Linked DNA regions of Saccharomyces cerevisiae S288C. Changing the gene in region 1 together with any one later gene gives a genetic interaction. Each region holds a gene or a part of one and is shown on either strand. Other genes may lie near its edges. The genes, in order: SHE3 and PMT6.

Region 1 (3,812 bases):
TCCATCGTCAAACTGCAAGAATGCTTGCTGCTAGAAGGACCCGCCTTTTCGTCAACTACAATTAAATCATCATCATCCTCTTCTTCATCATAATCACTACCTGTAGTGACACTTTCGTTGCCACTAGGACTAGAGAGGAATTTTTCAAGGGCAATTTTCCAATTATGCATCAGTTCCATACCAACCTTCTCATTTTGCCCTCGTGGAAATTTGAATATTAAATCCTTGGATGGAGTATAAACAGTTAATATACCATCGAGCTCGCTTATCTTAAAATTAAGTATGTCAAATCTCGGTATGACACTTATAGCCTCTCTTTCATCCCGAGTTTTGTAATAGGCAAATTGGTTTTTCCTCAAGACACACCAATATTGATGGTCTGTTGTCCGAGGCCACCATAAATGACGATGGTGATGATGGTGATGATGGTAACCCTGCGGTGCACCATCAGCAGCTCCATTGTTACCTGAACTGGATTGAGCTGTCGGCGTTTTATTTTGAGACGTTGATGGCTTCTTGATGAGATTCGATGCGATCAAAATTTCATGCTGACTTGACGGAGCAGTCGCACCTGCTATCATTGGTCTTATGAAATTTACCAAGGCAAAATTAGCGTAATTATTTATGGTTAATTCACCTACTGGCTACTATTGCGTACCACATTTTGGCCTGTTCGTTTAATTTCAGCCACATTATAGTAGAGAAAAAACCGTTGTGAGTGACCGAAAGTGAAAAATATGGATTCGTGTCTATAAAACCTTAGAGGCATCTATTTACTTTTGTTCTATTATCTAAATGAATCCTATATATATACTCCCTTGTGTCGGCATATTCTAGGATTGGGCCCCGTGAACAACCATACTATTTCCCTTTTTCTTATGAGTGGAGGAAACAGTTCTTGTAACACCGGGAGGCACTGAGATTGTGGGAGATGTACTTGGATCGTTATTATGCGTTACATTTGTTTTACTACTGCTCGAGCTTGGTTTTCTTACTGAGGCAGTTCTTTTAACACCAGGCAAAACCGGGGATGCAGATTTTGGAATAGAACCCGATGACAGCAAAGGCGACGCAGTATAGAAACTTCTTCTTTTATTGTTACTGCTATTACCATTGGAGGATGAATCGTTTGTGTTCGGCGTCTTTCTTAATTTGACCATCTTAATAGGAAGCATATCCTGTGCATTATTGCTACTCAAAGCGTCAGCGTTGTTGCTTTCCACCTGGGTTTGTACATTCTTCTTCAAGGTTTGTACTACCGCGCCTTTATTACTAATCTTCTCATCGTTTCTTTTCAAGACGTCTTTCAAATCCATCTTTTCAGCAAAAGTTGATATCAGATTTTCGTTCGTCTGGTACAGATTTAGCCAGCTTTGTAGATTTAACTCATCTAAAGAGTGAGTGATTATCTTGCTTAATTTTGAATCCTTTTCTGTTTCCAGAGATTTCAAATCTTTCACAGAGTCATTGAATTTATTTAAATTCAATTCTATATCTGAATTTGAACTAGTATCTGAACCATAATTTAAATTTTGATTACTTAACTCTAACTCCAACAAACCGATTTTTTCATTTAATTTGGAAATTTCATCAGAATAGTGGTCTCTGTAAAGATTTTGTGACTCCAATAATGAATTATAGTTAACTTCCATATTTTGCAATTTTTCAGAGCAAGATTGTTCAATGGCACTAGAATTTTTCGCCAATTTACTCAATTGATCCATTTTCTCCTTTTGTTCATTGTAACGGTTACTCAATTCGCTATAATCTTTCTCTAGCTCTTTTAGCTTCTTGTTCTTTCTTTCAAATATCGAGTTGAGATTTTCGTTCTCGTTCTTCAGCAGATTTAAATTTTCCAGTAGTTTTGATTCTTTGGATTGTGCTAATTCCAATTTACTCAATAAATTTTGAGATTGCGTAGTCAATTGTAGATTTGTTTTTGTCAGCATATCAATCTGGTCATGCAGTGATTCAATGACTCTCGAAGATGAGGCATTTTGGCTGGAGGTATTTCTATCTTTTGTGGGGGAACTTTCCAAGTTTGCCATAAAAATATTATGGTGAGGTGCCAACTTGCTTGAAGAAGTCTGGGTATTATCCTGGTCCGACATCTTACACAAAAGTAGTGTCGTTGAACCTTGGCGTGCTTGATAGACGAGCTAACGTTTGGTAACCCCTTCAGACTGCTGCTACTCATGGCAACAAATCAATAAACAAAATGCAATAGTAGTTAGTAATGAAGCTCTCGCCCGAACAAAAGACGAAACGAGCGGGTAACTATTTAGCCTATTTTATTGCGATGACAATAATATGTAGTAGCAATAGGGAAATAGTTTCATTTGACGTGGAACCAAAAATACATTCTAAATCGTACAACTATTAAATTGATATATGAAAGACGGATATGAGACTACACTATATTACGGTTTTTGATCCATCAAGATCTACCAACGAAAATGACACTTTCAAGCAGTTGCTGCTGTTCCATTATTTTGGCACTACTGATTCAATACCCTCTTTAAACGAAAAACTGTCCATCATAGGAGTAATACAGGGCATTTGGTCACTTACGAGTTCATGCGTAAACAAGGACGGCGAAGATTTAGAGAAAATTATTGAGCTGAACAATGATATTATTTTTTGTATTAAGGTGGAATCAAGATTTTTCATCAGTCTAGCAATTTCGAATATCAGCGACGATCAGAGTGCCATACCTTTACAGTATCTCAGTGCTTACTTATGGCTTAGTTACAGGTTCTTCAAGCTACTCAATGGGTCATTCAGCGGATTTAACAAGGACTTCCGCAAACTCACGGATTTGTTGAACGAATTCGTTATTCCGTTCTGGAATGATATTTATTTGAATCTAGAAACTGTAACGAATAGATCATTTACTGTAATGTGGCCTGGTTTTTATAAAAGGGCAAATTTTCAACATTCCTCTTATAATCCTGGAGAAAAAAATAATGTCGAAGAGTCATGGGACGCTATAATCTTGCAGAATATTCTTTTAGATAAAAAGAGTTATCTAGGACTAAAGGACATTTTGGTTTACCACCTACCAAAGCGCACCAAAGCGGCTAATAGGGAGTCTATGGGAACAAAAACTTATGGACTAGTAAGGAACTTTACCAGTGACCTGAACACATTACCAGATATCTCAAATTGGCTATATCATTTGCACTGCACCTATGGTGAAATATCAAGTCATATATTAACAGGAAATGTCCATTTTAAAGAGGAGCTACAAGTAGAAGAAGAACAAGAGCGAAGTCGTGATACAAACGGAAGAGACGAAGAGGAATCACAGGAGCAACAGCGACGGGAGCACCAAGAGACTACGCAAAACAATACAAGCGAACTCTCTCTATCGGAAAGAGTGATACACAACGTAACACTCCCCATTTCTTTTGCATACGACGCTATACATGAAGTGAGTACCACGACTGGTGTTTCGGGTAGCTTATCCATGATAATGGACTATGTACCGAAGCCCCATTGGCCGTTCATTTCATCCTCTAACAAAAGTGCCGACAAAAATAATTACTCAAATAGCAATGATAACGCAAATTCGAATGCCCCACTGATGGCGCAATCAGAGGCTGTTGGAGGGACGATAGGCAACTCGAGATTTGGTTTCCTAATTTCCCCATTGAATTCAGACCTGTTGCCATCATCATACCAAGCCCTGAAACTGAATTTGAACTTTGAAAACTCCAAAGACAAGGAGGATTTTTATAATTGCCTATTTTGGTACTTTGATGATTTTTTAATTGTAATTGTCTGTGATCCGGACTTCAACAAGATTTGTG
Region 2 (3,933 bases), on another chromosome or scaffold:
TATCCCAAGTAGATAACCACTGCAAAGGTAAGTATTCCGCTTTATCACCATGCATACCCTGACATATTGGAGCAAATAAATTATAAATGTATATACATCCGCCAAACAATGACAAATAGATGGGATATTTGACCATCCAATGGACTCTTGTCAAAGTGAAATCAAGCACAAATCCGAAAACAAGCATTGCAAAATATAAAGCGGGAACGTAGTGATGTACATACGTCACTCTCCCCATCATTGCAAAAGGCAGATAATGTGTCATCCAGGAAATGAAAGGAAAAATACCCTGTATCGTTATTTGCCAGATTTGATCGTCTGAGAGATAAAGCGTTTGTCTCCTCCAACGATATAATATAAAAAGAATAATAAATGGGAAGATGATTAAGGAGACAGTAGAAATCCATGTATTGAAGGGAGATCCCATCAAGTAATATCGAGTGATATATCCCGCCCATGAACACATTCTTAGCCCTTTATGCAAGGTTGGCCATTCCCATGCATCAGACGATAAACTATCATATTTATCCTCATCAGGCACTAACGCGTTATTAGAGGAGGCCATGGCAAAATTAGTTAGAATAAAATCGGTCCAAAAATTGGATTTTGGTGGAACGTAATCTTCTGCGGTTTCTAAATTGTGGTTCCAGTGATCTTCTACATTCCACCAGGTCGATTTGTCCCTACGACTCCAGGAGTCTTTGCAGACGATTTCAGCTTGTTTAAATCCCCAAGCTGGATACGTCAATCCAGTAGAAGCCAAGTAACAACCTAAAACTTTGTGTCTCAACCTGAAGAAAGTAGAAACTGGATGTAAAATAGTTGAATTCTCATTAGAATAGACGGGATTTGGTGAATCCATTTGTTTCACAATCTCCACTATCCAATCATCCTTTTCATCGCCAACACTTTGTGACCCATAGCCTGAAACCTCATAATTTCCTCTAGAGACGTGAGAAGGTACATCATGCGAGTGAAGATTCGATCCTGTATTTTTATGGCTGAGACGAACTTCCACACCATCCGTTATTGGGATTATTTTGCCATTCAAAGTCCCGTTCTGATCTAGTTCCAATCCAGAAGACCTAGAAAATTCAAACTTCCAAACATTATTAGAGTCTGCGAATCCATATCCAGTGATTTGGCGCTGTCCAGAGCCTTCTGGGTATACTTGAATATGTGAATGCAGCAGATTCGGGCTTAAACCATGCGACCTTATGGTTAACTCTGACCCAAATGCTACATCACGAGGACCCGCCTCAATCTGAGTTCCCTCCAAGTTTATCTGAAATAACGTATTTGTAGTAGAATCCCCCGTGCCAGATTTGTACAACAACACAAAGTGAATTTTGAAGCAATAGAGATAGATAAGAAAAGGAATTACTATCAGATTAATGATTCTGATAAGCCAATGTTTGTAATATTTTATTCTAGGCAATTCTTTATCACAATAGAGCAAAAATAGTTCTATACATGTGTAGAGGCCGACTACAACTGTGATAAAAAGACCAACCCATTTCACAGAACAAACGCAACCAATAGATAAACCAGTTAATAACATCCATAACGACCATTTTTTCGTCATTTGTTGCTTTCTCAACGTATACAACTTTATCATACAGGCAAAAGTCGTCATCGAGAAAAAAAGCAGCATTGAATCTAGCAATATGAATTTTGAGAGGACAATATATGAATGTTCCAACGTTACCATCGTAGCAATCAAATAAACAGTAAAATAATTGAACCCCATCCATTTGGCTGTAAAGAAAGCTACTGGTGTACATAGAGCTCCAAATGTGGCATTAAATTGTCTCATTAGTTTAAAGTTTACGTTTTCCGGATATGCATTATTAGAGGAAAAGTCAAATTGACCGTCAAATCCTGCCATCCATTCGCTCAATGCAATAAGCATTTTACCAAGTGGAGGGTGGACATCGTGGTAGTACTCATGTTTGATGTAGTATGATCCGAATTTCCCAAAATGAGCCTCATCCCAGACAACATAATTGTTCTGATCTATATGTTGGAATCTTAGATAAAACGAAGTTATAGTTAATAAAAGGGGACCTATGACATCCCTTAAAATTTTCAACGCAGTGTATTCTTCATTTTTTTTTGTCCTATGTTTTTCTTCTAGTTGCTCAAAGCAATCTAATTGTTCATCTTGAATATCGGAGGCATTAGCTTTTGGTTGATTAACATAACGTTCGCGTAAGTTTTCATCTTCAGTATCAATTGATGAAAATCCCGTTCCCTTGGCTTTACTCATTGGTAAATAATAAGAAAAACAGTATGTTAGGACTATCGTTTGGTATATTAAACTGCCAAGAGAAGATAATTTAAAGAATTGTTTCAACGCGAAACGTGACTATAGCTAATGCTCTTTTCAAATTATTGAACTTATTACATTTATAAAAACGGGTAACCTAATAACGTCAAGTATATGGGCAAAACCGTTATTGAAGAGAAGATGTTCCATTGTTCATCAAATTAATATAAATCAATGAATAATATAATACAACTAGATTGAATTACATCTTTATGCTTTCTATGAGTATCTTTACACCAGAATATACTTGCGCCCATATGTATATATGTGTGTGTATATATCAGAAGAATTATCGTTAGTAATTGCAATACCTTAGGGAGCGAATGGGATTCAACTCTTGGTATTTAATACATTTTAGCAAAGAGTTTTTGTACTCGTCATCTTGATATTTCTCGTAAATGAGGGACAAATACCACCAAACTTCTGGGGAATAGTAAGCCTCGATCGATTCTAGTATTGCGCACTCCAATAGAAATTTTAGTCTTGCATACGCTGCTGACCTATCTGTGTCATTAACGAACGTAAGTTTGGCCCTCTTACCTGGTTTTTTATCAAGGCTGAGAGTATAATAACGCTCAAGATTAGTTTCCTCGACGCCTAGTTCTTCAGGGAAAATTAATTCAGCGAATCCGACCAAGGCATCTAAATTATTCTCATCATAGTACAGAACTGTTTCAAATTCCTTTAATGCCACGCCTGGTTCATCTTTTATTATTGATAAATAACCGTTAGCAATATTACAATTTAAATTCTTGAATTTACTTTCGACATTGGAGGCTTCTTTGATGGCGGCCTTGGCATCCTCATCATTGTCTTTTGTTCTCATGTACATATTTGCAGCAAAAATCCACACCATTTGTAAAAGATATTCTTTAGTTTGAGAATATTTGGGACCCATGCTGTTCAATTCAGGTTGTGAATCTGGAAATAATGTTGCGTATAATTCAAAGACCTCTGGAAGTGTCTCCAGTGCCTCTAAAGTGCCAAAAATTTCTTCAATTAGCGCCAATTGCGTTAATTTTAGGTGAATAAATTGCCATCTATCATTCAGAAGTAAAGTATTGTTCTGAAGACTTTCATTCATAGCTTCTAGAACAGAGCAAACTATCTTGTACGACATTTCCTTATCCTCTTGCACAGACCTACAAAGAGCTAATAGATGCCAAGCTTTGTAGTAATTTGGGTTTTTACTTAATATCAATGATTCTAGAGTCTTGATTGCAGTTTCAATGTGCCTCTGTTGTGCTAGAGTGTAAGAATATTTAAATTGTAATTCACGTAATGCCTTCTCCTCCTCTCCTTCTTCCTGCTCTTCTACATCAGCATTGTCTTTTTCTTTTGTGGACAGCATCATTGCATTACATAGATATGAAGTCAAATTATTAGATACAAGAAAATCTAACTGATATTTTCTGATTTCGTACAATGTTGACCACGCATTTGTTAGAACTTTCGAAATGTTTCCTGGGTATACACATCTGGTGCTGTTTTCTAGCCAATCTAAAGATTCTGATTGGCTCATTAATGGCAAATTATATTCTTTGTAGAAGGAATTCAAGGAAGTCGCAAACGTAGATACCGTATTATCGTAATCAAAAACATTT

The links.
Region 2: mutations in SHE3 (region 1) and PMT6 together harm fitness more than expected from each alone (negative genetic interaction), as found in Saccharomyces cerevisiae (2 studies listed by BioGRID).

The regions. Positions count from the first base shown.
Region 1 is NC_001134.8:494,759-498,570, forward strand, and holds SHE3 (She3p), read right to left. Parts: upstream 2,112-3,812; coding exon 834-2,111; downstream 1-833. Other genes in the region: OPY1 (Opy1p), read right to left, coding at 1-581; CCZ1 (Ccz1p), read left to right, coding at 2,405-3,812. UniProt on the Saccharomyces cerevisiae protein: RNA-binding protein that binds specific mRNAs including the ASH1 mRNA, coding for a repressor of the HO endonuclease. Part of the mRNA localization machinery that restricts accumulation of certain proteins to the bud and in the daughter cell.
Region 2 is NC_001139.9:895,838-899,770, reverse strand, and holds the start of PMT6 (dolichyl-phosphate-mannose-protein mannosyltransferase PMT6), read right to left. Parts: upstream 2,270-3,933; coding exon 1-2,269. Other genes in the region: YPP1 (Ypp1p), read right to left, coding at 2,625-3,933. UniProt on the Saccharomyces cerevisiae protein: Protein O-mannosyltransferase involved in O-glycosylation which is essential for cell wall rigidity. Transfers mannose from Dol-P-mannose to Ser or Thr residues on proteins.